Lonchura striata: one gene and its partners. The protein of the gene in region 2 interacts with the protein of the main gene of each other region in a pairwise test. Links are inferred from orthologs where the notes say so. Each region holds a gene or a part of one and is shown on either strand. Other genes may lie near its edges. The genes, in order: C4H4orf46, KXD1, GABARAPL1 and TCEA2.

The links.
Region 1: the proteins of KXD1 (region 2) and C4H4orf46 interact in binary tests that used the Homo sapiens proteins (3 or more experiments, as listed by UniProt). The two-hybrid records come from large-scale screens. The link is inferred for Lonchura striata from reciprocal best matches to the Homo sapiens genes KXD1 and C4orf46.
Region 3: the proteins of KXD1 (region 2) and GABARAPL1 interact in binary tests that used the Homo sapiens proteins (3 or more experiments, as listed by UniProt). The two-hybrid records come from large-scale screens. The link is inferred for Lonchura striata from reciprocal best matches to the Homo sapiens genes KXD1 and GABARAPL1.
Region 4: the proteins of KXD1 (region 2) and TCEA2 interact in binary tests that used the Homo sapiens proteins (3 or more experiments, as listed by UniProt). The two-hybrid records come from large-scale screens. The link is inferred for Lonchura striata from reciprocal best matches to the Homo sapiens genes KXD1 and TCEA2.

Annotation. Positions count from the first base shown.
Region 1 is NC_134606.1:40,736,489-40,743,769, reverse strand, and holds C4H4orf46 (renal cancer differentiation gene 1 protein), read right to left. Parts: upstream 2,697-7,281; 5' UTR 2,691-2,696; coding exon 2,529-2,690; intron 2,437-2,528; coding exon 2,281-2,436; 3' UTR 508-2,280; downstream 1-507. Other genes in the region: ETFDH (electron transfer flavoprotein-ubiquinone oxidoreductase, mitochondrial), read left to right, coding at 2,921-2,954, 4,827-4,973, 5,376-5,605, 6,511-6,592, 6,884-7,002.
Region 2 is NC_134630.1:7,140,378-7,147,373, reverse strand, and holds KXD1 (kxDL motif-containing protein 1), read right to left. Parts: upstream 3,019-6,996; 5' UTR 2,848-3,018; intron 2,541-2,847; 5' UTR 2,535-2,540; coding exon 2,440-2,534; intron 2,356-2,439; coding exon 2,203-2,355; intron 1,181-2,202; coding exon 1,134-1,180; intron 602-1,133; coding exon 366-601; 3' UTR 121-365; downstream 1-120. Other genes in the region: peptidyl-prolyl cis-trans isomerase FKBP8, read left to right, coding at 3,550-3,823, 3,960-4,129, 4,371-4,459, 4,700-4,917, 4,991-5,163, 5,248-5,325.
Region 3 is NC_134607.1:2,234,590-2,242,481, reverse strand, and holds the start of GABARAPL1 (gamma-aminobutyric acid receptor-associated protein-like 1), read right to left. Parts: upstream 3,003-7,892; 5' UTR 2,901-3,002; coding exon 2,811-2,900; intron 1-2,810. UniProt on the Homo sapiens protein: Ubiquitin-like modifier that increases cell-surface expression of kappa-type opioid receptor through facilitating anterograde intracellular trafficking of the receptor. Involved in formation of autophagosomal vacuoles.
Region 4 is NC_134619.1:6,781,240-6,788,773, reverse strand, and holds the start of TCEA2 (transcription elongation factor A protein 2), read left to right. Parts: upstream 1-4,529; 5' UTR 4,530-4,648; coding exon 4,649-4,717; intron 4,718-5,315; exon of another isoform or gene 5,316-5,538; intron 5,539-7,118; coding exon 7,119-7,181; intron 7,182-7,534. UniProt on the Homo sapiens protein: Necessary for efficient RNA polymerase II transcription elongation past template-encoded arresting sites.

The DNA of each region.
Region 1 (7,281 bases), on a different chromosome or scaffold from region 2:
CTCATGTAAAGGCAATAGTGAAATTGTAATGATAGTTCTGATACAGGTTGGACAAGCCTTGATCAGCCTGGTCTACTGGGAGGTGTCCCTGCCCATGGCAGGGAGAGGCTGGGACTAGATGATCTTTAAGATTCTGATTCAGGCAGAACCAGAACTATGATGAAGAAATAAACAAAAATTAGAGGTTTGTTTTGTTTGGTTGGTTTTTTTCCTAAGTGAGTATCCCCCAGCTTTAACTGGTGGCAGTTTCCCCCGTCTTACTCTGGAAAGACTGGACTGAGTATACCAGCACTTTGCTGCTTCTCTTTTCCTCACTTTTCTTAACAGGCTACCAAAAGTTGCTCACCACAGCTTGCAGACTTCAACAAATTCCAGTCTTAAGATGTATCTCCATGAACAAGGGAGATGGTCAAATAGAAAATTATCAGTCTTAATAGGTGTCACGGCTCACTTTGAGCATGACTGGATGCATTATAGTTAGAGTAATTGAAAGACCGCAGACATTCAGCACTTTTTGAAGCATTATTTTACTTCCCAGAATTACAAGGGTAAAATACAAAATATCCTATCTGAAACAATCCCCTAGAGGCAGTTCCTTCACACATTTTTACTGAAGAGAATGTTTTCTATTATGAATTATTACAGCTTCCCTTCTTCTTTCAGTACCGTATTCAGTCTGATGGCCTAGAAGCCCAAAAAGGTAAAAAAAAGCTCTTTTTTCTGTGTTGATTTGAAACTATTTAAAATTAAGTTAAAAGATACTTACAATGTTTGCACTTAACTTCTTAGCAGTATAAGAAGTAGAATTTTGAAAAAGTGTGGCTCACACTTCAACTGTTTACAGAACTTTGGATTATCTTTGGATTTGAAACTGAAGATTGTTAAGCATCTTGTTTCCACTACTGTATGTTCTATTGAAATAAAGTATTATCTGCTGAACAAAATTACTTCTTTTCCAAGATGTCTAGCAACATTTCGGGTTGTAGGGGTTAAAAACACCTAAGCAAAATCCTGCCACATGGATTATCTTTAGCTAGGACAATTAGAATTCAATTCAATAGAACTTCCTTACTCAGGGGCCATCCCTCTCAAGGACTGCAACTGCCTTTGGTGAGATGTACAACAATCCCCGACCTTGCCATTACCTGGTTTTCACTCCACGTGATTATGGTTATATTCACTGTCACCTTTGTTTCTATCAGTAACACAATAATAGTAGATACTTCATAATTTTTGCAACTTCTTTATTGTTTTGATAAGCAAGCTGCAGTGGGTCTTCCTCAAAGTCCTGTAAGTAAAAACAAGTCATAGCAGAGTCACATTCTCCTGCAGCCTGCCATTGCATCTCAGCATTACTTTTTTTCAGTGCCTGGTAAAGGTACAGGAGTGTCAGGACAGCTATTTATTACAGCTCAGCCATCTTTCAGACCAAAAGGTTCTATTAATTCTAAGCTCTAGACTATCAAACTAGTCACTACTTAAGGCAAAGATAAAAAACAGGACCAAATACTGAAAAAGCTCTGAAGTGCTTCCCCAGCGACAGGAGAGAATACATGTCACAGATTCTATTCTAACTAATAGAAGCTTTTACTTAGAGATCAAAATAATTCATCCTATCAGTAAACAATGCTGCTAAACTTCTACCCTGCAGATATATATTGTCCATGATAAGGCACTTTATTACAACAAAAGGTAGGGTAAAATTGTTTGCAGTAATAAAACATCTTGCAAAAAAGAATCTGCAGCTTTATTGACATACATTGTAATACTGCTAAAAATAGTAAAGTTTGGGATATAGAATTTTTCTACAGCTCATAAATAAGCCACAACTTGCCGCATTATCCCATACTCAACATAAAGAAAAAGTGTGTGTAACAAAAAACTGAAGTTGATTGAAGTTTTTCTGGGGTTGGCCGGGTTTCTGCTGGTGACAGCTCTTAAAAAGGAAGGCTGACAATCCTTTATCACTTCCCTACAAGTAATGAGTTCTGAACGTAACACACATACTTTGTATCTACCACACTAACACGAAAGAGATAAAAATGAGAGAATAAGATCGCTTGAGCTTCAACGAAGAATCTAAAAGTCAAAACTGATTCCCTAAACGAAGTTTTTTTTTTCTTCGGTAGACTAACATAAAACGTCCATACGAGAGCCCCCAAGTATTTGTGAAAGAGGTCGGGGGGAACACAAAACTCCACGTGAGGTCCCCAAGGCAGCGGCCGCGAGGAGCCCCGCCGCAGCGCGGGCCGGGCGGGCGGCTCGGCGGGCAGGGCCGCGTCAGCCGCTGGGCTTCAGGGACTCGTAGCCCTCCCTCAGCAGGTCCCGCCACGTCCTGAGGAACCGGGCGTTCTCCGAGCACCTCGTGGCCAGCTCCTCCACCTGGGCCGACACGGCCGACGTCGCCTCCAGGATCTTCGCCAGCGAGAAGGCGGCCTGGAGGGACGGCAGAGAGGTTGGGGGTCGCCGGCGCCCGGCAGCCCCCCCGAGGGGCCCGAGCCCGCCCGAGGGCAGCGCGCCGCACTCACATCGCCGATCTGCAGCTCCACCTCCTCCAGCAGCTCCCGCGTGTCGCCGCCGGGCAGCTCCGGCGGCCGCGACCCCTCGCTCCCGCCGCGCACCCTGCGGGGCTGGGCGCCGGGCGAGCCCTCGGGCACCGCCGCGGGCGGCAGCGGCCCCGCCTCGGCCATGTCCCGCTCGGCGCTCCCGCCGAGCGCCGCCCACGGCACGCCCGGGCCGCTCCCGCCGAGCGCCGCCCGCAGCGCGGATGGGCGGCGGCGGCCGCGGGCGGCGCTGGGAGCTGTAGTCCTGCCGCCGGGACGGGGCGGAGCCGTGGCCGGCGCGCAGGCGCGGCAGGGCCGGGGCCGGCGGGGTGTGCGCGGGGCGGACGCAGAAGCGAGAGGTGCCCGGGGCCGCTGCGATGCTGCTCCGCCGCTGCCCGTCCGCCGGCCGAGGTAACGCGCCGGGGCCGGCTGGAGGGCCCGGGGCCTCGTCCCGGGCTGGGCAGGGCCGGGCTGGGACGGCCGCTCGTGCGGCGGGTGGGGCCGGCGGCTGGCGCGGCGCCGAGGCAGAGCAAAGGTCGCGGCCGGGTCGCGCCGGTGTCCGGGCGGGCGCGGGGCCGGACCGGGGCCGGCTGCGGGCCCGCGGCTGCCCCGCGGCTCCCCCTGCCCGGGGCCTCTGTGCGCCCGGAGGCGGCGGGACAGCGCCGTGCGGAGCGCTGCCCGCGGCCCGGCTCTGGGCTGCCGACACGGGCCGCTCACCTGCGGCGGCGTGCCGAAAGAGATGGGCGGGATTTTTGAGCGGCGCGAGGTGTCACCCGCTTTAGAGGGTGAACTAAAGCACTGGCACGAGTGTCCTTGCTTGGGAAGTAGTTGTGGCGACAGCATCCCGACAGCTGTTACTGAAGAGCTGCCGCAAAGTTTCTCCTTGGCCATGTAGGCGTTTCCCATCGCTTGTCGAGTCCCTGCGCTCTCAGTAGCGTCGTGGCCCAGGCACTGTGTGCTTGCTGGGGAAGAATCTGCCCGTCCAGCGTTTGCACCCACCTCTGTTATTATCAGAGGTGTTCGGAGCAGAGTTTCACTTCTTTTGCATATGTGCAAATTAATTGATTTTTTATATATATATATGCTGTGTGATTCTTAGTACCATCAGTTATGGTCAAATAAAAAAAATCCTGAAAGTTAAGTTAAAGTTTCATAATATATATATGAGTGTAGCTGTTACCAACCTTATAGAATGCTTGTTCTCAGATCCTGCTTGGTTGCAGGTAAAGGATAACTAAGAATTATGAGGTGATATGATAATAGTTTTTATGTTATATTGGTTAAGGTACAAAATTCTTGTCAAGGAGCCAACATGGATAATAATTGCTACCTCGCATTTAGAGACCTCTGTTCTGTCACCAGGACACAAGATGCTTGTGCTGACCTTGCCAATTGCCATTCTCAACTAAATATCTCAGTCATAGCACACTGGTGATTTCACTTATGTAGTTTTGCAGAAATACTCCACTTTAAATGTGGTACTAGTCTTCTTTATCCCTGAAGATAGAGAATTTTTTAAGGAAGGAAAATTATTAGTCAACGTACATTAATTCACAGACCTTTTAACTATAACTAGTTTTCATGCTAGCATTTTTTATTACAAATCACATGCATATTATTTGTTTCTAGAAGAGGGAAATGATGACATGTAATAGCCCTCTGAAAAGATTCCTGGTTTGATAATTTGAAACTTTGTTTTTCATCCATTTCCTTACACAGAAATTCTAATTTGTTCTCACAACAATTATTGTATTTGCAGCAAAGGTAATGGCTACCTGTATCTACTGTTCCTAACTTTGGCTAAGCATACTTGGGTTCAAGTCTGTGCTTTTACTGCAGACTATGGTGTGTACTTTAGAAGCATCATGTGTTGAGATGTCAGAGCTAAACTTGCCTGTCCTGTTTCTACTGTTGCTTGGTCATTTTTAATGCAGCCTGAAATAAACCTTTCGAAGTTCAAAATTAAATCAGAACTTAAAATATGTTTGGCACCTGTGTATACATGCATATTATCCTATGTCAGCTGTGCATGGCTGGCCTGTGTACTGAGTAAAGAATGCTTAAAGAGGAAGCTTATTTTTTTTTCCCTGATAAAAAAATTACACATCATCCTCCTTACCTGAGAATTTAAAAATCTGTGTTTATGGTTCCTCATCTTTACATCACCTGGTAGCCCTTTGGGAGGGGGGGAAGCTGTTATATTTGTTGCACTACTTGTGTCTCTGAAATTTTGAAAAATTTGGAAAACTATTGATTTGACAAAGTTGTTTCTGGTTTTTGCAGCACGTCAGTGCATTCATGCTTTAAAATTGATAAAGAAAGATTGCCTTCTATCGGTGCGTGTCTCACGATGTGCCTCTACCGCCTCTGTGCCTCGCATAACTACACATTACACAATTCATCCTCGGGACAAAGACAAACGATGGGAAGGTAAAAACATTGCATTCTTTAAATGCTTTGTTATTATTATTATTATTATTAATCATTGCTGAGTCTTAAAGACACTAAAATATGTTGCTGGTTTTTTCTCTTCATGGAAATTCTCTATGCTTAAATACAGTACTAATATTTCAAATGACAATTTTGCTTGCAATCTCACAATGAGTGTCTTTAGTGCTATAAAATATTATCAGAAGAAACTTTATGCTTGTTTCCATAAAGAAAATATACAAGCAGCTTTTGGTTTAGTGATTATCATAAGATCTAGTACTAGTCAGTATGTATCTGCTGTTTTTTTCAGTTGCTCTTACCATGAGGGTTTAAGTTCAGTGAGAGAGAGGCTGGAAGAAATTAGAGATTGGCTTATGTTATTATCAATTTTTTCTATTGAAGGGGTAAACATGGAAAGATTTGCAGAAGAAGCTGATGTTGTCGTTGTTGGAGCAGGCCCTGCTGGCCTTTCTGCAGCCATTCGACTCAAACAGCTGGCTGCTGAGCACAGCAAAGAACTGCGTGTTTGTCTGGTGGAAAAGGCTTCTCAGATTGGTGCACATACATTGTCTGGTGCTTGTATTGAGCCAAGGTCCTTAGAAGAACTCTTTCCAGACTGGAAAGAGCGAGGGGTATGTATGAGCATGTCAACACCAAAGTTCATTACTAGATTGTAATGAACTTCATATTTGACTGATTCTGGCACGAATTAGTACCTGGTAGCATTAGTAATTAATACCGTTTTAAAATACATTGATGGAACAAAACAAAAATGGGTACCTTCTTTTTAGTATGTTTCCTGTAGTTCAACAATGCTAAATGTTTTCTGTCTACACAGACATGCTGTGGCCTTTGCTCTTTTCTGTAGCAGTCCTACTGCATATACACAATCTGAATGGTGCAGCCTGGGGTGCCCTGCACTTGCTGCCTTTGTGCAAAATCCAGCTCTTGTGTACAAGCAGGATGTCTGGTCCTTACCAGTGACAGATATGCTCGATCTGTGCAATAGCTCTTCCTGGAAATGGCACAGAGTAGACTGGCTTCTGTGCAGATACTGTGGTGTAACAAAGGCCTAAGATGATTTTAGGAGGGAAGTCTCAGAACAGCCTGTAACAAAGGCCTAAGATGATTGTAGGAGGAAGGTCCCAGAACAGCCATCTGACTTGCAGACTGCTGCCTGCTTTCACCTGAGAGATGCAAGAAGTCAGCCAACAGCTCTTTGGTTTGCCTTATGGTGATAAATCTGCAACTTGAACTGCCATATTTAAAAAGGTCTAGAATATTGATGTAGCACAGGCCTGTGTACAATAGATGTTATTTGCAAAGCTGTATTTTTTTTTTTACTTCAGTAGTTGTGTTGATTCTTTCCTGATGACTGCATTATAAAGTACTTTATTTGCTCTTTTGTGATACCTTCCCATAGAAGTGCTATACTAAACCTGTACTCTACTGCCAGTTTGATTGTTTGATTTTGTTGTTTGTGTTGTATTGGCGAAGAAAATATAACTCTCTGCTTCTTCTATTTTATTTGTTGTAGGCTCCACTTAATACTCCTGTAACTGAAGACAAGTTTGGAATTTTAACAGAGACATCTAGAATTCCAGTGCCAATTCTTCCAGGTAAAGTTTACTGAGGGAGAAGAGAGTCAACTTCCTCTGTGTCTTTTTGGAGACTTCATGAATCCATGAACTTCTCCATGAATCAAAAGAAGTTTGATTCCGTGTAGTGCAGCAAGTGTATGTAGAGTATAATAGGTTACAGTGATACACTCTGTGTAGGTGATGGCTCTGATAACACATGAGATTAATTTTGAAGGTAGTAGCTGTAGATGTGACATCTACTGTATGCAGCTTTGGTTATTTTGCTTAGTGTCCGATGTGTTATATCTGTGTGTGTCTTTTTTTGCCTAGGACTTCCGATGGTTAATCATGGAAATTACATAGTACGTCTGGGCCACCTTGTGAGTTGGCTAGGTGAACAAGCAGAAGCTTTGGGTGTTGAGATATATCCAGGCTATGCAGCAGCTGAGGTACTAATGACATCAGTGTGTGTTTATGAAAAGTGGCTTAGGAACCCCCTTCAGTGCAGTCATGATCATTTGTACATGTGCAACATTCCTTTTAAGTGATATGTATTGTGAAAACTCTGTTTCTCTGTCTAAATTCCCTGGCTCAGATCCAGCAAAGTGCAGGTGGATCATACAGTGCATGAATAAATACATAATCTTAATGTTTGACCATTTAAGTCATACTGCTTAGAAGTTTTGCTTTAGAACTTTTAATATATAGATTCAAAATACAGTTTCATT
Region 2 (6,996 bases):
GGCAGCATTTCCTACAAAACCTAAACACCTGTGCCCCAAAAACGGCTTTTCTGCACCAAAAAATCTATGCAGATGAAAGCGTAGCCGCTCTCCTGAGCGCAGGAACGAGGGAGGACAAGAGGCATTTCCAACCAGGATTTACTGATTCCCCTGAAGCCAGCGCTGGCTTTCCACCCCAGCCGCAGTTTCCAGGCAGAAGGGCAGCGCCTTCCTCCCTCAGCTTCTCCCAGTTTCGCTTCCCTCTTCCCGAGGAAAACCAAAAAAAAAAAAAAAAAAAAATAACCAAAAGCAAAAAAGCAAACCCAAAAGAGCGACACACAGCTATAAATAGAGGATAGAAAGTTCTCCGGGGTGGGACGTGGCTCCTAGCCCAGGCCGCTGGCCGTGTCCTCGTCTGTCAGACTCTGTCCGTTCACGGCCGGGCCGTCGTAGTGGCCTTGGGATAAATCCTCAAAATCCTGGCTGGTGGCAGGGGAGATGACGTCGGGGCTGGTGTCACAGGACTCCGTGCTCTGCTCCGAGGTAGCGATGGTGGTCGTGGTGCTCTTGGGGACGGGGTCGAAGTCGTCGTCGTCCTCCAGGATGGGGGACTCGTGGATGTCTGAGAGGGGAGAGGGAGGTAAAGGTTGGTGGTGGGGAGAGCAGTTCTCCCATCGTGCTGGGAGCAGGGATTAAAAAATACCCGGAGAATCACCAGCACGTAAATTAGGGGTTGTTTGTGATTTCTTGCAGCTGGATTTAATGGAATTAAGGAGGGTTTTTTTGATTTTTAGGGAAGCAGCTACATGCCAGCACATGGACTTGTGACTCCTGAGAGATGTTCTTGGGAACAGAAACTGCTCCCACAGGAATAAAACAGAGAGTGGAGTTCCAGGACAAAGGGAATGGCTTCCCACTGCCAGAGGCAGGGATGGATGGGATTTTGGGATGGAATTCCTCCCTGGGAGGGTGGGCAGGCCCTGGCACAGCTGTGGCTGCCCCTGGATCCCTGAAGTGCCCAAGGCCAGGTTGGATGGGGCTTGGAGCAGCCTGGGGCAGGGGAAGGTGTCCCTGCCACGGCAGGGGTGGCACCAGACGGGCTTTGAGGTCCCTCCCAGCCCAACCCATGAATCTGCACGTCAGGAATCACTCACTGCTGAAAGCCTCTGGGTACTGCTTTGCCAACTTCCCTTTGAGCGCCCTGGGGAGGAGAGAACAATCCGAGTCCGTGGGGAGCGGAGGGAGCCGGAGCCGAGCTGCCCCACAGCTCCCAGCGCTGTGGGCAGTGCACACGAACCCCGAGGCTGAGGGATTCCCACCCCAAACCCCCAGAAGAGCCCATCCCACCCTTCCCAGCACACGGGCTGTTTCTGAATCCCACGTTCTGTGACCATCCCAAGCAGAGCCCATCCCATCCCATCCCAGCCCATCCCAGCCCATCCCACCCATGGCAGGGACACCTTCCAGTGTCCCAGGGTGCTCCAAACCCCCTTGGGCACTGCCAGGGATGGTCACAGCTTCTCTGGGAATTCCATCCCACCGTCAATCTTAAAGGTCCCAGAGGGAGGGACACCTTCCAGTGTCCCAGGGTGCTCCAGACCCCCTTGGGCACTTCCAGGAATGGTCACAGATTCTCTGGGAATTCCATCCCAGCCTGGAGGTGGGATATTCCTTCCCAATATCCCACCCAGATTCCCCTTCCCACTTTGAAGCCATTCCCTGTGCTGGGATTCCAGTCCTTGTCCCAAATCCCTCTCCAGCTCTCCTGGAGCCCCTTCAGGCTCTGGAAGTGGCTTCAAGGTGTCCCTGGAGCTTCCCTCCTCCAGCCCGACCTCCAGTTCCCACAGGGAACGATCCCTTCCCCATATCCCCCCATCCCCGTGTCCTGTTCCTCCATCCCTCATCCCCAGTCCCTCTCCAGCTCTCCTGGATCCCTCAGGGACCTCCTGGTGACATCTTCACACCATGGTGTCACCTCGTTCATGGAACCAGGGACTCCCAGAGTGCTTGGAAGGACCTTAAAGCCCATCCCACCCCAATCCCATCCCGAGCAGGATCATGGAAACCCAAAGCTCCAACCTCCACGTGTCACTCCATCGTGTATTTTCCCTTCCGCAGCAGATTTTTCTTCTCACAGCCCCCCAGACTCTGACCTGTGCCCCGCTGTAACGCCCCGCCAGCCCCCCCAGGCCACCTCCCGGGCCGGTATCCCCGGTTTCGCACCGGATCCTCCGGAAGATGCTGTCCAGGTCCTTCTTCATCTCCACCAGGGTCCGGGTGTGGTGCAGGAAGCGCTCGCTCATCTGCTGCATGCGCACGCTGGAAAGGTTGTTGAAGTTGAGCAGCATCTCGTTGGTCTTCTCAAACCGATCCAACCTGCGCGGGGGAGGCACCGGGAGCTCGGCAAAGCTCCCGGTGCCGGTACCGGCACTCCCACCGCCCGCTCCCCCCGGGACTCACATGTTTTTCTGGGCTAGGATGATGGCGTTGACGTCCTCGGCGTTCACCATGCCCAGCACCCTCCCGCAGAACACCTGCGAGGCCGTGGGCTCCATCGTGGCCTGCGGGACCGCGGGACCGGCTCAACCGGGGGCACCGGAGCCCCCCGCGCTCCCCGCACCGGTAACGGAGACCCCCCCCCTCCCCTTCCCCTCCGTGACAGCGGGACCCCCTCCGCCCTGCCGTGCACCCAGCAGCGGGCACCCCGCCGCCGTGCCGCCTCCCGGGGCGGCCCCGCTCGCCGGTAACGGGATCCGCTGGCCGCCCGCCGGTGCCGGTAGCGCCGCCAGCCCCGGGCTCCCTCGGGAACACGGGTGCCTGAGCTCCCACTGGTGTCCCCGGGGCCTCCTCCCGGCAGTGCCCGCGCACCTGCGGGAGCCCGTCCCGCCGCTTCACATGACGGGAGCGGTCCCGGTACCGGGGGCGGCAGCGCCGCTTCCGGGTGTGCAGTCACGTGGGGCGCGACCCCGCGCCGTCACCGCGCCGAGCCGGAAGTGCCGGAGAGCGGCCGGGCGGGAGGGACGCGACCCCCGCGGGCATCACGGAGCCTCTCCGGTACCGGTGCCGGTGCCGCGCCCTCGGCCCCGCCGCGCCGGGGCGGCCGCGCTGGTGGCGGCCCCTTTAAGGCGTCGGGGGGCGCCGCGGGCGCGTGGCTGACGGGCGTGCTCCCCGCCCAATGGCGTGGCGCGGTGGGCGGAGCCGGGCCAATAGGAGCGGGGGGGCGGGGCCTGCGCCCGCGCGTCCGCGGGCCAGGTGGGAGCGGCGGGGGGCGCGCGGCGGTCACGTGGGGCGGGCGGGGGGCGCGGGGCCGCCCCCCCCCACGGCACCGGGACCGCGACCCCCGGTCCCACCGGGACAGACCCCCCCACCACCGGGACAGACCCCATCCCACCGGGACAGCCCCCCGCCAGGCCCCATCCTTCCCCGCGCTCCGGAGTCTCCGCTGTCCCGTTGCGCATCCCCCGGCCCCGGAGGGTCCCGGTGCTGTCCGGAGCGGCGGAGCGGCTCTGCCGGTAAGAGCAGGCTCCATCCCTGTGCTCTCTCTCCCCCGCTCCAGGTCGCTCCGCCGCCATGGCGTCCAGCGGGGAAGAAGCGAGGAGCGGCTCCCCGGGCCGGGCGGGCACCGGCACCGAGCCGGCGGCGGACGCGGCTCAGCTGGACACGGCGGAGGATTTCGAGGTGCTGGAAGAGGAGGAGGAGGAGGAGGAGGAGGATGACCTGAGCGAGCTGCCGCCGCTGGAGGCCGTGGGGCGGCCGGCGGCCCCGCCGCGGGAGGACGCGCAGCCCCCGGAGCGGGGCGCGGGGGGCGCGGCCGGGGACCCCGAGGAGTGGCTCGATGTTCTGGGTGAGAGCGGACGCTGCTCGGTGCCGGGGCTCCCCCGGGGCTGCCGCCGCCGCCAGGGCCGGGCGGGAGGCGCAGGAGGGTGGGGGCCGCCGGGCTTTGCCCTCCCCGCGATGTGCTTCGCTCTCTCTGTGCGCAGGGAATGGTTTGCTCAAGAAGAAGACGCTGGTGCCGGGCCAGGGCGCGGACAGCCGTCCCCAAAAGGGCCAGGACGTGACAATCCGCCTGAAGGCCACGCTGGAGGATGGCACCGTGGTGGAAGAGGACCCTGCCCTCACCTTCACGCTGGGGGACTGCGACGTCCTGCAGGTGAGCACCTCACCTGGGAGCAGGACCTCACCTCGGGGGCCACAGGGAGGGTTGGGGTCGGTGACATCCCTTTGGTGGACATAAGCGGCCCTTCTGCCCTTTCTCATGCTCCTTCCCTGCGATGTTGGCTGAGTTAGAGGGGGTTTGGAGCCACCTGGTCTTGTGGAAGATGTAAAGGTCCAACCGTGACGGGAGGTTGGAACTGGAGAACCTTCACAGTCCCTTCTGTTGTCCCCTGCAGGCTCTGGACCTGTGCGTGCAGCTCCTGGAGATGGGCGAGACGGCTTTGATTGTGTCAGAAGCCAAGTACTGCTACGGAGCTCAGGGCAGGTGAGAGCTGGCAGGGCGCTCCCAAACCAGGGCTGGAGAAGCTGTCCCCTGCTCCCCTGGTGACAGCCCAGCTGTCCAACCTCTGCTTCCTCACGAGCAGCGTGTCCTCCCTGGAGCCGAACGATCCCCATCATTCCCTGCCCCAGGAACCTTCCCTGGCTCGGATTGCTGAGCCACGGTGCCGAATCCACCCAGCCCGGCACCTGAGAGAGGTGACAATGGCCCCGTGGCTTTGTGCAGGAGCCCTGACATCCCCCCCAACGCGTCGCTGAGGCTGGAGGTGGAGCTGCTGGCGGCTCGGGACGCGCCGGACCTGGAGCTGCTCAGCGGCAAGGAGAAGATCCAGCTGGCCAACCGCAAGCGGGAGCGTGGCAACTTCTTCTACCAGCAGGCAGACTATGTGCTGGCCATCAACTCCTACGACATCGCCCTCAGGATCGCGGGCTCCAGCTCCAAAGGTAGCTTGTCCCCACCAGGAGAGGGTCGCTGGGCTCCTGGCTCTGCTCTAACCCGGCCTCGGGGTGTGTGCAGTGGATTTCAGCCCGGACGAGGAGGCCGAGCTGCTGGACGTGAAGGTGAAGTGTCTCAACAACCTGGCGGCCTCGCAGCTGAAGTTGGACCATTTCAAGGCAGCTCTCAAGTCCTGTAACCTGGTGCTGGAGCACCAGCCGGGCAACATCAAGGCTCTGTTCCGGAAGGGGAAGGTGAGGAGGGGACCCTTGTGCGCGGCGTGGCGGGGGCTGAGGGGCGGCTCAGCCCTGCTCCTCCACCCGCGTGTCACCCTGCAGGTGCTGGCTCAGCAGGGGGAGTACAGAGAGGCCATTCCCATCCTGAAGGCAGCCTTGAAGCTGGAGCCTTCAAACAAGGTAGGCTGGAGGTGTGTGCTGCCCGTGATCCCCCTGAGCTGGGCATCTCCTGCATGCTGCTTCTCCATTGTCTGCGTCCCTACAAAATCAGCGTTGCCCCTGGGAGGCTGAGACTCCCTGGAGCTGTCCCCAGCTCCGTGGAGGGAGGCTGGGAATAGCCCCCAGAGCCTGGGGAGTGATGGAAGCATCACGTGGAGTGTGGCTGGGCTGGTCTCTAGCCTTATCTCCACGGTGAGAGGTTCCCCGTTGACCTTTGGTCCTGCTGGTGACAGGAATCCCTGCCAGCCCATCCGTGCTCCAGCCATGCCCCAGGGAGGGTCCAGGCTGCCCCAGGTGGCTCGGGCACTTTGTGCTGTGGCTGGGGGAAGTGGAGCAGAGCTGAGTCCCCACAAACTCGCTGAGCAGCCCCAAGAGTGAATCACTGGCTGCTGGGAGCAGCCAGAGCTCAGTCCAGCACCCGGGCAGGGCGAGCTCTGGGTCAGGAATTTCCTGTCAGTTAATGATCAGCTGCAGGACTGGAGCCTCGGGAGAAATCAAACACCAGTGCCAGGAAATGACCCCAGCAGGAGCGAGACTGGGAGGAGGCAGGGAGGTATTGCCTGCACAGGGTCATCCTGGGGGTCTTGGCTCTCCAGATGGGCTTTAATCCTCGCCTGGATCTCTTGTGTCCATTTCTTTCTTGGGAGGTCCACCAGACCATCAGGATACATGTCACAATCCAGTCCCTGAAGGTCACGGCTGAGATGTGGCACAAGCAGGTGCCTGGTGGCCCCACAGCACCTTCAGGGGCGGTCTGAGCACCCTTGGAAGGGCGAGCAGGACCCCAAACCCTTCCTTTGCCATCAAGGTCAGGGTGGAGAGGGAGCAGCACTGGGAACCATTCCCCTGGCACGTCCCTGGGCAGGGCGGCTGCTCCCCAGTTCCGATGGAGCTTCTAATTGGAGAGGGCTGGAAAATCCGAATGCCCGGCAGTGACGTGTCCAGCGAAACCACAAGGACAGCAAATTACTGCCCTCCCCGGCTGCTGCCCGGGCTCCAGGCAGGCGTGGGTGACTCAGGGGCCGCAGCTACCGGTGCTGAAAACACTCCAGCAACGCTGGGCTCCACCTGCCCTGCTGCGAGGCGCTCACAGACATCCCTTCTCCTGAGCCCTTGGAAGTGTTCTGGGGGTGCTGGTGGTTGTGTGAGGCTGATGTGACAGCCCCGGGGAGCTCTGAGCAGGAGCGTTCTGTCCTCCTGACACCCAGGTTTTCGTGTTGGAGGCAGCTTTTCCCGGCGTGGCACGGGCTGGCAGAGCCGGCGTGCTGGGGATGTGTCCCCCAGCAGAGGGCACAGCGTGGCTGTGCCACCAGGGCCACCACCACCACGTCCTTCTGCCACCCTGCCCTGCTCAGCTCCGAGGTGCTTCCTGCTGCTTTTGGGGAGCCTGTGGGCCCCACGCAGGACTGGGAGCCTTGTCCTGCCCCAGCAGGGCAGATGTGGACACGCTGCAGGTCCTGCTGCAATCCCACTTCACACCAGGCTGAGTTTTAAGCCCGCTTTCCCAGCCTGCTTCCAGACAGAAAGTGGGAGAGCTGGTGCATGTCTGTCCTCGAGGCAGACACTTTCCTGTCTCGATGAAAGGATAAAATCCCTTTCCTGATGTCTGGCATCAGCCCTGGGCTCTGCTCC
Region 3 (7,892 bases), on a different chromosome or scaffold from region 2:
GCAGCTTTAGGATCAAACAAATCAAGAGGTCTTTTGCTAAAAGATATTTTTTGTTAGCAGAGCTAGGCAAAATATTTACCTCCGAAGCAGGAATTATTCCAAAGTGACCTGATCTCCTTTTCCATTGAAACCTTTGGAACTACTGTGTTTGTGCAGAAAAAACCTGCAGGCTTTTTTTTCCCTCATGTGTATTTTTGAACTGGTAAAAGATATATCATGTTTCAATCTATATGGCTTGCTGTTCTGCAGAAGCCATTCTGACCACCTAAATGAAAGCAAAAGCTGGATTTTTCTGAACTTCCTAAACTTTTTAATTTCCTTAGACCCTGTAAATACTCCACAGGAAACACTGTGGGACTGATTTCTAAGGGCTCCATGCTCCCATAGCTCTTTGGCAACCCAAATACAGCTGTTGTGTAAGGGAAAAAGTTGGACTGCTGTGGACTAAGACTTCTTTGGAAGCAAAATGATGTTGACCCACTAGTGAAACACCACACCAGAACAAAATGTTATCATGAGCTTGGCGTATTTTAGCCTGGACATGGTGCTGTGCTAACCTGAATCTTTCTAAAGCCAAGTGAGTGTCTGCAAAATATCTCACACCAGAGAGGTACCAACTAGGACATCTTTTCCCTGTGCTCCATTTGGATGTGGCCAGCACAGCCAAACCCGCTGAAGTTTCCAGGTTTGATTTTAAAATAGAAACATGGTTGCCTCAGCTACTTCAAGATTTTCAAGTACCTAAGTTAGCACAAGGCATTCAAGCTCCTTCAGGGAGTCTGAGGTAGGACATGGATTTCTGTACAAGATGCAGCTGGCAAATGCTGTGAGAGAAGGACACTACCACAACCTCACTGAACAGCAACACACAACACTTCTCACATTTTTTACCAGCACAGCCAAACAAAGCAGTAGCTAACACAATAAACTGCAGTGGGGAAAAACCTTTAGTTCTTGCCTCCAATTTAAAAAGCTACTGACAAGCCAAACTGCTTGCTGTGACTTCCCTAACTGGAGGTGGGGGGGAAGGAGGGGGATTGTAGATTGGTCATTAGATAATAAAGGAAAAGAAGTCATGCCTTTGAGGTGACTGTTGGGGGTTCTAAGCCCCTAGGAAAGATTTAGGAGAGATTTAAATCAGATTACCACTGATTTAGGAGAGCTTAAGGGACATCTCCCTCCTGCAAAGATGCACGGAAGGAATGGAGATGCTCTGCTCATCTGACTGGCAACTGTAGTCAGTTTTGCTGTATAATGCAGCTTATCTCTTCCGAGCCACTAAACCCTTCCCATACATAAAAAAAAAAACAAAACCAAAAACCAAAAAACAACTAAAAGGAAAACCGTAAGGGTAGAATACAGATAGCTACATTTGCCTGGCTGTTGAGTGGCGACTGTGATAACGCAGGGCAGTGAAATCTCATCAAAATGCTGAGATGTATCACGGCACTGCAGCGTAGGCAGCCAAAAGGATGACATCTTCAAGGATCCTGCTGTCAGGAAGGGCAGACACAGAAGTGATGTGAAGAACAGAGTGCTGCATTCAAGAGGCCATCCCTAATAATTCACATCTGGGCCTTGCTGTGCATAATTTCCAATTATCATTAACTCCAGCACACCTTGTTATTCTGGTCCTGGTTTTCTTTACAAAGTTCTGCTGATGAGCCCCTGTCTTGACCTTCTTTACCTCCTGCCAGACTGGGCCTTGTCCTGGGCTCCCCACAGGGCTCTTCCCGACACATTTGTCATGGCCTGCTGTGCAATCTGCCACGTTAATCCTCAATTTACACCTTGTCTCTCACCCAACCTACACAGCCCTCATCCTAAATACCCAACCCCACACACCTCAAGCATGCTCAACCTATGCCAAAAAAGAGAGAACAAAGGCACCCAAATACTGACTTCCAAAAACTTGTTTCCAAGTCCATTTGAGGGTCACTCCCAAGATAAAAAAATGTTGTTAGCCTGCAGGGAAAACATGGGGTGTAACTGTTCCCCCTTTGTCATTAGTTTTTCAGGAAGGACCCAGTTTTTTTGAATGCAGTACAGTTGTGCAGTCTATCTAGGGCAGACCTCTCCAGTGGGGAAGGAAAAAAAGAATACTTGCAAAATGTTTATTAAAAAAGAAAAAACACTCTACACTTAATTATATTTGTCTTTTTTTTTTTTTTTTCTTTCATCCCAATAATTATTCGGAATTATGAAGCCAGAAGTTTCCCGTAGGCACTCCAAAGGGGCCTAAGAATGAGGAAGCAAAATTTAGCTAGATGACCTTGCATTCCAAGTGACATTTTCTCCACAGGATGATTAAACAGGAGGGTAAAAGGACCCAGAAGTATCATTTTTTTCTGCTCATGCAAAGGAAAAGAGCAAGGCTATATAGAAAAGACAAGCCATAGTGAAGTAAAATAAAAATAACAGGGACGTACGAGATGACCCGGATGCAGACCGTGTTTAGCATGAAGAGTACCCGGTTAACCGCCTCACTGATCTCCATTTTCACAGAAACACGGGTGAGCTCCTTGCCCACTCACCCCCACGCATGCCAGAAAAAGATCAGCAGCGTTCCCACCGCGGAGTCACCGCGCATCCCGGGGAAAAGGTGTATTCCACCCCCACCCGCACCGCAGCCCTCCGCGCATCGCGAATAGCCCCAGCTTCGCTCTAGGGAGAAAAGCAGCCGGGGATGCGAATCAGAGCAGCGAGATCACGGCCATCCGTACTAAACTCATTTCCTTCCAAAACAAGGCGAGCAGCAGCCGGCGGCCAGCACGGAGCGCAAAGGCGGCCGCCCGGCAGCGCGCACTCACGGGGACTCTGTCGGGGTATTTCTTCCGGATCTTCTCCCCTTCTTTTTTCCTGTACTCGAACGGGTGGTCTTCCTTGTACTGGAACTTCATGGCGCCGGGCTGTCCCTCCGCTGGCGGCTGCTGCGGCTGCCTCCGCCCGGCCGGCGCTGCGCACAAAGCCGCGGCCGCTCCCGCCCCGCCGCCAGCGCCGCTCTGACGTCACGCCCGGGCCCCGCCCCGCCCTTACGTCACGGGGAGGGGTGACGTCACGCGGAGGTGCCCCCCTGACGTCACAGGGAGGCACCGCGCTGGCCGGGGCAGGGAGAGGTGGGCGGCAAGGAAGGGGGGGCACCTTCCGTCAGTGTTCGTGCACTGATGTGTTGCCCGGCAGCACATAAACAAACAACTGTTATACACGAAAATTTGTCCAGCCAGATTAAAATGAAAAAATAAAATATTTATTTTGCAATCCAATTCTATCTATCCAGCCACACGGAAAGAACAGAGCCGAGCCCGGGGCTGGCCCTGGGTGTGCAACAAGGAGTCAGCCTCAGCAGAGGTTTTCCTCTGTGCCCACACGCCTCCATCCTGGCATGAGTGGTTTTTATAGGGAAAATTCCGCCTGAGGTCAAGATTTTTGCAATCAGTCTTTTCTTCTATTCAGAGTCCATAGGTTAAAAAAATTTTCTTTTTTGGTGATGAGGAAGAACAATTCAGTGTCTGGAGTTGTTGGATCCCTTGATGAAGTTTACGGGAACCCTGCATTCACATGTATCTGCCCAAGGATTTCCATCATATCCATCTCTGGGCATCCCGTATCTCTCCAGACATGGCCCATCAAATCGGGCTCTAATATACACCAGGTGTCACCTGTGAGGTTGGGGGGGACTCCTAATACAAACATGTATACTCCAACAAATATTCAATATCACATTTATCATACCAGAAATGGCGCAAATTAGATCTACTACACATAACACAAGCATTTAAACACAATTTTTATTTTTTAATACATACATGCCCTCTGCAGTGTGACTCAGGGCTGTCAAAACAGCACCAGCCTCAGCGGGGCACAAGGCTCGGGGCTCCCCAGGAGAGGCCTGGGTGGCCCCACTTGCCCCGATGGGTGTGGTGCGAAATGTAAAAAATTGTGCTGCATACACAAAAATAATGGCTCATCCTTGTGAAGGAATAAATAAATAGGCTCCACAACTTGGGGTAGTTATGAAGGGGGTATGTACGGTCAGCGCCTGGCACAAGTGAGATATTTCTCCAAGACTTGCACACTGAGTTTTAATCTGACCCAAACTTTTATTCCCAAAGGTGTTCCATATGCAATACGTTACACAACTTTTCTATGCATATTTAACTCCTGGCCCCGCCTGCCCTTGTCCCTAATGCTAAATAAGTCTACACCCTTCTGGGCACACGTAGTTTGCTGTGGTGGTCGCACGGGGGTCCCTGGTGGTCTCTTGAGGCTGAAGATCATAGTCATCCTCATGGTTGAACTTTAGTACTCTTCTTCTCTGCGCATGCATTTTCAGTCTTTTGGTGCTTATCTGAGTACAAGTATCAGTCTGAGAGATAAGTCTGGAGATAGAGGAGCCTCTTTATCTGGTTTCTTTTTCTTTTTGATCCCTTTTTTTTATTGCTTATGCAAGAAGGTTCAGTAATTTGCATTTCTTATGCCCTTTTGTACTTTGGTTTCTTAAGTAAAAAGTTAAAATTCAACACATAATTTTACAAGCTAAAATAGAAATGCTTAATTCCTTTTGTTAACTTAAGTGAATTCCAAAATTCTCTGTTTCACTTGGACTGGCCCCGTGGCTGCTGGGGTTTGGGTTGTTGCCTTTTTTGTAGCACCTCTCTGGCAGAAAGCGTTGCCATATGATGGGTCACCCCAGATGCGTGTTGCAAACAGCAGGCAGCTAAAGGTCTGCCAACAAGCCAAAACACCCAGCCAACTTCGGCCCAGTTACTCAGCTGGCACATAAAATATCTGGGTTTTTTTCCCCTAGGAGTAGATCAACTCACAATTATTCACTGATCAGCAGAAGAGCAGGTATTAATGAATGGCTCAGCATGCTCAAATCAGGACAAAAATAAATTGCTACAATTCAATGAGTTGGATTGTATTAAATTATTTTTTCTTTGCATGCTTTACCTAGAGGAAACACAATTTTGCCAAGGCTGATCTTTTATCTGTGCAGGTGTTTTAGCCATAGCAGACTATGAGTGGAACAGCCAGATGCATGAGGTGATTCTCCATGGCCACACCAAAGGCAGAGGTAAAAAGACACAGATTTCCCAATTCAGCCCCGTGTCTTTACTGAGGATGAACAGGGGTAGGAAAAGGTGTGCTGGGGTGTGATTCTTCTCACCTGAATCATGACACCTACTTTTGGATGGCTGAAGTGTGTCTGCAAAAACTCTGGCAGGTCCTTTACTTTCTAAGCTTTTATTACAGTTACTTTTTTTTTAATACAAATACTTTTATTTAGTATGGGGTGGAGTGACTTCTTGCTAATGGCCAGTTCCAGCAGGTGCATGCCCAAATCTCCTAAGGATCAAGCAGCCCACAGTGGGAATGTCACCAGCCACAGTGTCCCAGCTTTCTCTAGTTCATGTGCACCAGGTTTGTACAGGAAGCACCGTCAACACGTTTCTGTCTGTCCTAGGACACGTAAATGTTCTCGCATGGTTGCCAGGTCAGAGGAGCTCAGAGGGATGAGTCAGAAGGAAGGAATTATTTTTTGCAGTTCCATAGCAAATATCTCAGATTGAAGGAGCCCCAGGGTTTAGACCCAAGGAAAATTCTGGTTTCATGGCATTAAACTTTTATGTCAAGCCTGTGTTTGGCCTCCTTGCCTCCTGACTGCCTGCAGCACAGCAGTTGCTGAGGTGTACTGAAGGTTTGCAGTGATGTTCCTCAAGCACAAAAGAGAGGAAGTTTTCTAGTCTGTTTCACCTAAGCCACCAACATATTCTGGCAAATTTAAACAGACCGATCTCAAACTCCTCTTATCATGTGAATTGCTGTTTTTATCCCCAGGACTTCTCCCAAGGCAGCTAAGGTAACACCTGGTTTTAATTTCTCATGACAAATCAGAGAAAAGTGCCAGGTTTTTTTTCCTGTTCTGATGCAAAGACATGGCCCTGTGAGCAGATTGCTCAATGACTTCTCCTCAGCAAATGCCCTAACTGAAGTTTCTCCCTGCCCTGATGGTGCAGCTCTGGATGTGCAGCCCCAAGACTCCTCCTGCTTCCCCACTTTGTCAGGCACCGAATTCCCAGCTCTCTCCTTCAGCTTCAATAATAACAACAACGTCACTGGCAAAACAGGCAGGAAGATGATACATGCAGAAGCAGTGACAAACATCTAAACATCTGACTTAGGGTTGTTAAAATGTCAGCCCATGGGCATGTGACAAACCCCACGTTCTGGATTCGTTTGCCAGAGGGAGGAACTGGAAATGGTGTTGGCTAATTTTCCTACCCTGGACTGCCAGCACAAAGTGCTCCTTCAAGGACTGTCAAAACAATATATTTTTTCTTAACCTAGAGTGTCAGAACACTGTGAGCACGTTCTGTACTGCAGTATCTGCAGGTCATGTGGTACATTACACGAGGGATTTCCCAAGCATTGCCAATGCTGCATGCATAGGAGCAGGAGACAAATATTTGCACAGAACCTGGGGGCAGGCTTTGCAGCCTGTGCCGTACTATACAGTCCTGCTTATAACTCTGGACTCCCTTGCATGTTTCTTTCATTATTACCATTATTCATTATTGGGTCATTTCTGCCTCTACAGACTTTTTTTTTTTTTTTTTTTAATCTTAAGTGTGGACTCCGCATATCAAAGTGTCTTTTGTCAGGAAATTTGTGCTTTGTGGTCTGAACAGTGATTAAACCACAGATGGCACACCTGAAGGCACTCGTGCTTCTGATCTGCTCGCTGCCACCCGTGGCACAGTCCTTGCCTGGTGTCTCTGCTGTGTCCCTCGTGACTGGTCACCAGTTTCTCTTGGCACTGGATCTGTAGCACCTTCAGAGCCAGTATGGGCACATTGGTCTTGGATGAGGGCACAGGGTTACTCACTCCCAGTAAACAATGTTTAATTGTCTGAATGTTTTCTTTTCCTCTAGGAAAGCACTCTGTGTTGTCCATGCTGGGCTGCTGTCTCGCTGCTCTATTTTCTACAATTTCTTAGTTGTTTTTTTTCTTTTTTTTTTTTTTTTTTTCAAAAAAAGGCTGCTCTTTCTTACCATACTTCTTGTATGGCCCAGCTTCAGCTAAAGTTGCTTAAAGGCATACAAATGATGTAATGAGGAGATTAAGGAACACAATCACAATTGCTGCATGATCAAAAGCAGCAGTAACAGCCCAGACTTGCAAAGCAGAGTTTGAGATCCATTTGTTCCAGCCAGTGATTGGGAGTGGCTCGTTGGGGAGGGGTATCATTGTTCCTGTGAAAACAAAGGAGCAACAGTGGGGCCACTGGGATGTTTCTGAAAACCAGTTTTTCTCAAAGACTGCGTGTTTTAGGGGAACCTAAGGGTGGCACTGTTACCAAACAAGTTAATACTTCTTTTAAAAGGAGCCTGTGCAGCAGTGTCGGGAGGGAAATTGCTTTAAGAATATTTAATCCATGAATTGAGTAACAGATGACAAGCAAGCTATGGGTGATGCCCATGTGTTAGAAAAACAAATTACCAATTTAGGGACTGATGTGCTTCAGTGCTCTTCGACCAGAGAGAGAAATTTTTCGTTGAGACCTGGCCACAAAGAATGCAGAATTTGTAACCAAAGACACTTAGAGAAATTGGAGATGAAGGAGAAACTAACAAAGAAAATTACTGAGATTCTCTCTACCTGGGAAAAAGAAATAAATAATAAAAAGACTAAATATGTGGATTAATTGGCATTAGAAGCAATAAATAAATAACAATAGGTGATAGAATACTATTTAATGAAGAGAACTATGTAGCTTGTAAGCCAATGAACACTAATTTCTTTGCTCAGATGTATGAATAGTTAAAGGTTTTGATAACTGGCATGTTCTGTGGAGTTATTCACATGTACCCTAAAACCAAATACAACT
Region 4 (7,534 bases), on a different chromosome or scaffold from region 2:
AGGTCAAACCTGCTGCCACGGAGGGGCACTGCCATCCAGAGAGCTTCCCACTGCCCAGATCTGCAGATCGCATGGGTGAGCAGGGACAGCATAGGAAATGCTACATGGGAAAGCCCTGTGTGGGAGCCCAGGAGCCCCTGCCTTCCCACAGCAGACTTATCAAGGCACCAGTTCAGAGTGGTGCTTTCCATGGGCCAAAAGGGAAGTGCATACACATCAGACTTCTCAGGGTCAAGGATGCTGGGCAAGCAGTGAGAGGAGAGGCTGCAGGGGGCAAGGGAGGGAACCGGGGCGTGGGGAAGGAGACACAAATAGCAAAATGAATAGCTTGAACTTCCTATGTTTTATGGAGGTGAATAAAAGGAGACAGAGAGGGGGAGAGAAAGGAGACCTGAATGCCTGCACAAGGTCTCACGCTCACACAGTCCAGCCTAGACCCCAGAAACTGCTGGTGGCTGATGTGGGGTGGCAGCCTGTACCCCCTTGGCTGGCATGTCTCTGGGCTGGCTGCTTGTCTGGCCCAGTGTCCCCCAGGGGTATCTCATGAAGCGTGACAGGCTGCTGCTTAGCATTTATTCCTCTCCCTGTCATTATTGTTTTGAACAGCAGCCAGTATAATTAAAATTGTTAGGAGAAAGAGGTTTAGGGAAAATCCAAAATGTCTCAGAAGAGCATCTGCAAAGCTGGAGGTCCAAACTCCACCCTGGCACTCACGATGAGCAGGGCCCATGGGAGCCATCATCTCCTCTGCATCCTCCCTTCCATGCTCCCCGTTTCTCAGGGTGGCAGAGGCTGGGCTAACACACAGGGTGGTCCTGGCCATGTTCCCCTTGCAGCTGCTGCCCACTGTAGCTAAATCCTGCAGCTTTTCCTGGTGTAGGACTTGTCCCAGGAGGTCCAGATGGCAGTGTCCCCAGGCACCTCACCTGCAGCTCGAGGACAGATGCAGTGGGGGGATGTAAGAAGTGGAGGACATGGAGCCCCTGTGGGCTGCTCTTCCAGAATGGCATGGATGGATCTAAAATATCTCCTGGGAACCATGATGCTTTCTGTTGTGTTAGGAGGGCCTGTGCCACAAGAGGAGGTGTGGAGAGGACCCTTGGCTCCTCAGAAGAGAAAACAGGATGGTCCATAAACAGAAATGGAAGTCACCATTCATGCCACATTCTCCAGGTTTCCTAAGTGTTTGAATGGAGGATTTGACTGCTCTAGGGTCAAATGTCCCCAGTGCCAGGGCTAGGAGATTAAGGACATCAGACAGCTCCAGCAAGGAGGGGAAGAAAAGGCAGATCCCTGCCTCCATTCCAGGGCTGGCACAAGTGCATGGTTAGAGGATTAATCAGGAGCCCTCCAGCCAAGGCAGGCTGAGGGTGAAAAGGAGAGGGAGGCACATCAAAACCTCTCCCCAAAATAAGTGGTGCTCTGGCAAAGCCTATGGCAGCTGCTCCCATCTTCTGCCTCAGTGTCTCCCAGCTACTGATTGTCTGTTGCTGTCTGGATAGGATCACTCATTACCAGCTCAGAGCCCAGTGTGTCACCCAGGACAGCCAATCCTCCAAACAGTGACCTGCTGAGGTCCTGGAGATCTGAGCACCCCTGAGGTTAGGGTGTGTCTCAGGACAGAGCTTCCCTGTGGGTTTTATGGTGGGTGGATAGACAAGGCAGGCCCAGGAGTGCCTCTCATCTCTGCTTTTTCCAAAAGTGGACCAAGCCTCTGGTGGTTGGGAGCAGAGAAAGGGTGGGGTTTGATGGCTGATCTCCAAATGACTTGAACTTACTGGGGATAGTGGAAGCAACTTGATCCAGCCCATTCGCTGCGTTCAAATCTGCTGAGAGTCGCATGGGAAATACAGTAGCCCAGTGGAAAAAGCAGGTGAGATTTTGTGGGGTTTTATTTTGCAGGAAACTTCTCCTGGCTCTCCCAGATCTGCCTGCCAAGGGCAGCTGCCAGCGAGGCACCACCAACGGAGACTTTCAGGGAGTCTCTTGGTGTGCAGGGGTCAGCAAAAGCCCCCTCCCAGACTCTCCCTGATGGACTCGCCCCTGCTCTGTTTTTAGCACATTCAAGTAGCTGCTTTCACAAGAGGTAAAAGAAAGTTCATGGATCCGTTGACAGATCACCCCAAGCGGGAATTTCTCTGGGAATTCCTGCAATAGCAGGTTAGCTCCCGCGGAGGTGGAGTTTCCTCTGGATCTACCTCCACCCAGGCTTGGGGAGAGCTCTGGCCACCGGCTCCACGCTTGGGGGGCAGGGCTGAGCGACGCCACCGCTGCTTCCCAGCCAAGGTCAGCCAGAAACCCTCCCTGTCCTGCAAGCGCCTGGCCTGTTGTGTCCTGTTAACCCTTGGGAAGAGCAGAGCCACAAGCTGGCAGGCTTGGGCTGCAGAGCTGGCCCGTGCCCAGGGGCACACAGGGGCAGTGGACATGCCCAGCAGGCACACAGAGCTGCAGGCGTGAAGATTTCGTGCCATTCTGTCCCTTGGGGACTTGCTGCCAGGCAGTGGTGGGCCCTGGGTGAGGCTGGTTGCCACTGCAGGAGGCCAGCGCTGGCAGGGAGATGGCTCCTGCTTGAGGCAGGGAGTGACGGGGTGATGGTGCTTGGCATCAGTGACTGTGTGCTCTGGAATCTGAGACACGTCCCCGGCCATACTTGTGGTCAGGAACCATCTCTGCGTTGCAGCAGCACAAGCCACACTCCCAGTGGCAGCAGTGCTGCTTGAGCGTGTCTCTGACGCCAAGGACCGGCGTGACCCGACCCCACACACGGGACAGGCAGCTGCTCATTTCCAGAAGGTCCCCTTGTTGGGACTTGTTTCCTCCTCTCTAACAGAGGTGGGCCTCACCAAAATGGCACCTCCTGACTCCACAGCCAGACCCTGCCAAGGGCTGGAGGATTTCCAGGTGCTGCACAGGCTCCAGACTGTGGGGTGGAGGGAACTTGTGTTCGCAAACACACGGCCAAGCAAAGAAGTTTCAAGGTGTCATGCTAGGGAGAGGGTCCAGTGCTCACTTTTGGTCTGGGACCACCTTTGCTGCTTTAGGGATGAACTGCCATGTGTCTCACACATCCAGGGTGCAGCTCTTGCTAAAGGGTATCCCAGAGCTCCGTGGTATTTTTATAAATCTCCATGGTATTGCTATAAAGAACAGCAAGCAGGCAGCTTGCTAGTGCACAGATTTGGGGATCAGCCACCCATCAGAGCTTTAGCACTGATGTGTTCAATGCTTCTCTCTCTGGAGGTATTCAAAACTCATCTGGACAAGTTCCTGTGTCACCTGGTTTAGATGACTCTGACTTTGAAGGGTGGCTGGATGATCTCCAAGCCCTTGAGCCCTACTAATGCTGGGATTCTGTGATTCTGAGATTATGCCCTCAGTGACTCAGCCTCGCCCCAGGACAGAGTGCAGTTGGAGACGAGCACTGGGAATTCTGGTTCCCAAGACCTGACTGTGCATCCTGAGGCCACACGTAGCATATCCCTGTGCTTCCACATGATCTGCAGCTCCATCGGGGCAGGACACGGCCGCTCTCCACCAGCACAGTCAGGGCCCTCTCTGAAACATCGGCGCTTGGCGAGGGCTGTGCATGGGAGTTCTCCCTCTGCCAGGAACCAGCTGGAGGGAGCGACAGCGCTCGGCAGCATCTCCCGGGGGATGCGCTGCCCTCGCACAGTGTGCGAGTGCCATCTACAGGGGCTCTAGCCCGGCCCCCCCAAAAAACCCATCCTCTCGCCACTGCTGACTGCTGTCCAGTCCCCAAGGCCGTATGAGGGGCACAGCCTCAGTTTATCCAGGGAGCATTTATCCAGCAGTTTATCCAGCACTGCTCCGAGGGCTCAGCACAGCCACGGACAACAGTCGCAGCCACAGAATGGTTTGGGGTGGAAGGAGCCTGTAAAGCTCATCTTGTTCCAACCCCCTGCCGTGGGCAGGGACACCTTCCACTATCACAGGCTGCTCCAAGCGCCATCCATGAAACTTCCAGGGATCCAGGGGCAGCTTCTCAGGGCACCCTGTGCCAGTGCTGACACCACCCTCACAGGGAAGAATTGCTTTCCAATACCCCATCTGACCCTGCCCTCAGTCAGTGTGAAGCCGTTCCCCCTCGCTCTGTCACTGCAGGCCCTTGTCCAAAGTCTCTCCATCTCTCTTGGAGCCCCTTTAGGCACTGGAAGGGGCTTTAAAGCTCTGCCCGGAGCATTCTCTTCTCCAGGCTGAACCCCGCAGCTCCCAGCCTGTCTGCACTGCAGAGTGCTCATTATCTCCGTGGCCTCCTCCGCCCCGCTGCAGCATTTTGGGACGCGGCAGTTCCTGCCTGCCGTGGCACAGCCCCCGCCCGGGACCGGGGGTCCCTCACCGCGGCTCCGCTCCGAGCCCCTCCGCGGGGCCCCCACAGCGCCCCCGGCGGCCGGGCGGCGCCGCGAGAGACGGCCGCGGGGCGCGCTGGGAGATGAAGTCCCGCCCGTGAGCCGCGCTCCGGCAGGCGGCGGGTGGAGCTGGAGTCCCGAGGACTACAACTCCCATCGTGCCCCGCGTGCGCCCGCCCTGACTGCGGCACCGGGGGCTGAGGTGGGCACCGGGCACCGAGCGCTGCTCCCCCCGCCCGGACCCCCGTCCGGCCCCGGCGCCGATCCCGGGGAGCGGCGCGATGGGCGGGGAGGACGAGATCGTGCGCATTGCCAGGCGTCTGGACAAGATGGTGGCCAAGAAGAACGCGGTGAGTGGCGGCGGCAGGGCCCCCGCAGCCCGGTTGGCGCGGGGGGCCGCCCCCTGCCCGCTCTTGTCTGGCGGACGCGCCCCCTCCTTTCCGCAGGATCCCCTCCTCGCTGCCGCGCTGGGGCACCCCCTCCTCGGTGCCGTTGTCAGGGGCGTCCCCCTCCCCAGACCCCATTTTGGGAGCCTCTCATTCAGCGCCGCCCCGGTCCTTACATCGTGCTGGAGCACACGCTCCCCCTTTAAAGTGGGGTTCCCTCCCCCAGGCCCCGTCGCTTTTTCCTTTCCCCATCCTTTGCGGAGGTGTGGCATCCACCCACTGCCAGATATTGAGCGGGCAGCCCTGTGTGCCCCCTTGGGTGCTGTGGGAGCCTCCAGTCCCCATGCTGAGCCCCCCACCCCAGGCCTGCGGCATCCCCAGCCCGCATCTCAGCACTGCGGGGCTCACCCTGTGCTGCCTGCCCTCCTCCTGGAGAGCATCCCCAGCCCTTCTCCCCTGCCCCTTGGGAGCCTTTGGGAGGGGAGTCCCCACCAGCACCGGCCTGGGGCCCCGGTCTGCCCCCGGGGATAGCCCCGGTGCTGATGGATTTGCTCCCTGCATCTGCATCCCACACCAGCACTGCTGCTCGCTGCCGTGGCCCCTGGAGTGTGGAGGGCTGGCCAAGCTGCTGTCTGCACTCCGGGAGTCTCGCAGGGTGTGCTGTGACCCCTGTGACAGCCTGGGAGGACAGGAGCCGGTATTTTCCGGCTTAGTGGGATATATCAGTAGAAACACGGTGTCATGCAAGTGCTAAGGCAGAAAGCTGACAAGGGTTTGTGAAGGAGGTAGGCTGTACATCTGTGTCTGGGGTGGGGGTGAGGGATTTTGGGGTTGGGAAGGGCTGTGGGGAGTGGGAGATGATGGGTGAGGAAGAGGAGGCATTAGAGGAATGTGGTATTCTGTGTTAGGATGCTGGGTACATCACAGTTATCATTTATGCTGGTGTAATCACAGGAACTTTTGGTTGTTGGACTGACCCTGCCAGCCGTGGGTAGAGCAAGCACTGTCACTTGTGTCGCTGTTGGAACAGGCCAGAGAAGTGTGTTTGGGCTAAAGAAGAGCCTGTGATGTCTGTTCTTGCTCGTGGCAGGTTTTCAGCATCAGTGTTGAAATAGGAAAGGAGCAACTTTGTAGAATTTGCTTCCAGCTACATTGGGAAAGAGGCAGCTTCTTACAGGAGGGGTATGCGACATTTCCTCTTGGCTGGCGTTTGAGATAGTGCTGAACTACAGCATGTTCTGTTTTGGCTAATCTTAGAGCTCTTCCTGCAGGACAGTTTCCCAGAGTTTGTTGCTCTAGTTTTTCCGTGGATCCTCATTTGCTGCCGTTGTGCTGAGTGGCTCCACTTGGAGTCACACCGGGTCACTTCGGGTGTTCAGGGCTGGAGGAATGGGAAGGTGTGAAACTGCCTGCGGTGGAAGTCAGTCCTTCTGGGTTTGGTAAATGTGTGTGGTTTATGCTGGTGTGAGTTGATTGTGTGCACGCTGAAAGCTTTGACTCTGCTTTGATTTGGGCATCTGTTCTGTAGGGTGAATTACAGCTGGATTGCTTCCTGGGATGAGTTGGAAGCAGCCCTTCTGTGTAGGGAGGACGGGATGTGAGGACAGGGCTGGCAGTGCAGACACTTCACTTCCCTACAATGGTGGCTGTGCAGGCCTTGTGCTGCAACTGGGCTTGGAGTGGTCGGCGTTGTAAATGAGCTGCTAAAAATGAACACTGGAAGCCTTGTGTGAGGGATGGGGGTTGGGCAGAAAGAGCCAGCTGAATGGAGACAGGCCCATGCCAGGCTGGGATGTGCTAGAGGGAGACAAGTGATTTCCAGTTCTCTGAGTGACTGCCAGTTTTAGGTGTCTACAGATTCCCCATCAGATTTTTCCTGGTTCGAGGATGTAGAGATGATGTAAGGAGACTTCACAGAGCAAGTGTCAAGTGACCAACCTGTCAGCATCACAGCTTGCTGCCTTTGCTCCTGGTCTCAGCTTTTCTCCTGAGCAGAATCGGGTATTAATATGAAAACTAGGAAATAGCTACATGGAATCACTGACAGTTGTAATTCAGAATGTGTTTTTCAGGTATTAAAAATGTTTAGCGTGCCAGGTAAGAATAATAAACAGGTGCTGCACTTGCACCATACACAAACAAGGACCTGTAGCACTTCAGTGGTCTTCTGTTTTGCCCATTCCAATGATTCAGGTGCCTTCAAGTTGCAGGATCTATTGTCTGGAACAGCACCCAGCAGTGCACTTGCTGATGTTTCAGGGAACATTTGGTGGTTTTCCCTTTGAATTCAACTTTCTTTGTCTATTCCCAATAAAATTCCTTTAATAAAAGCTGAGGCACTCATTCTTTCTCTTTTCCTCTCCAGGAAGGTGCAATGGATTTACTGAAAGAACTGAAAAGTATGCCTATGACTTTGGATTTACTGCAGGTGAGTTGCACAGTTATGGTAACAAGCTTAAGTTTACATCCAGATGAGTTCAAAATGTTCTCTAAATAAACTTAATAGATTTCATCAGACTTCTCGCCTCATGCAAAGAGTAAAAATAAACATTAAATCCAACAAAATAGTGCAGAAGTTAGGTTTTGGACTGGCAGTTCAAGAGCTCTGGGTCACTGTGTGTAATTGCTCAAATCTTGTTTGTAGGCTGCAAAAAGAGGAAAGACTGGGTTAAAGTAGCAAACACAGAGGGCAGTCGTGGGAGAAGTTCTTTGTAATGTTGATATTTAGAACTTTGGGGAGGAGTGAGCAGAATTACAATTTGGAGTCTGTGATGCGGTTTG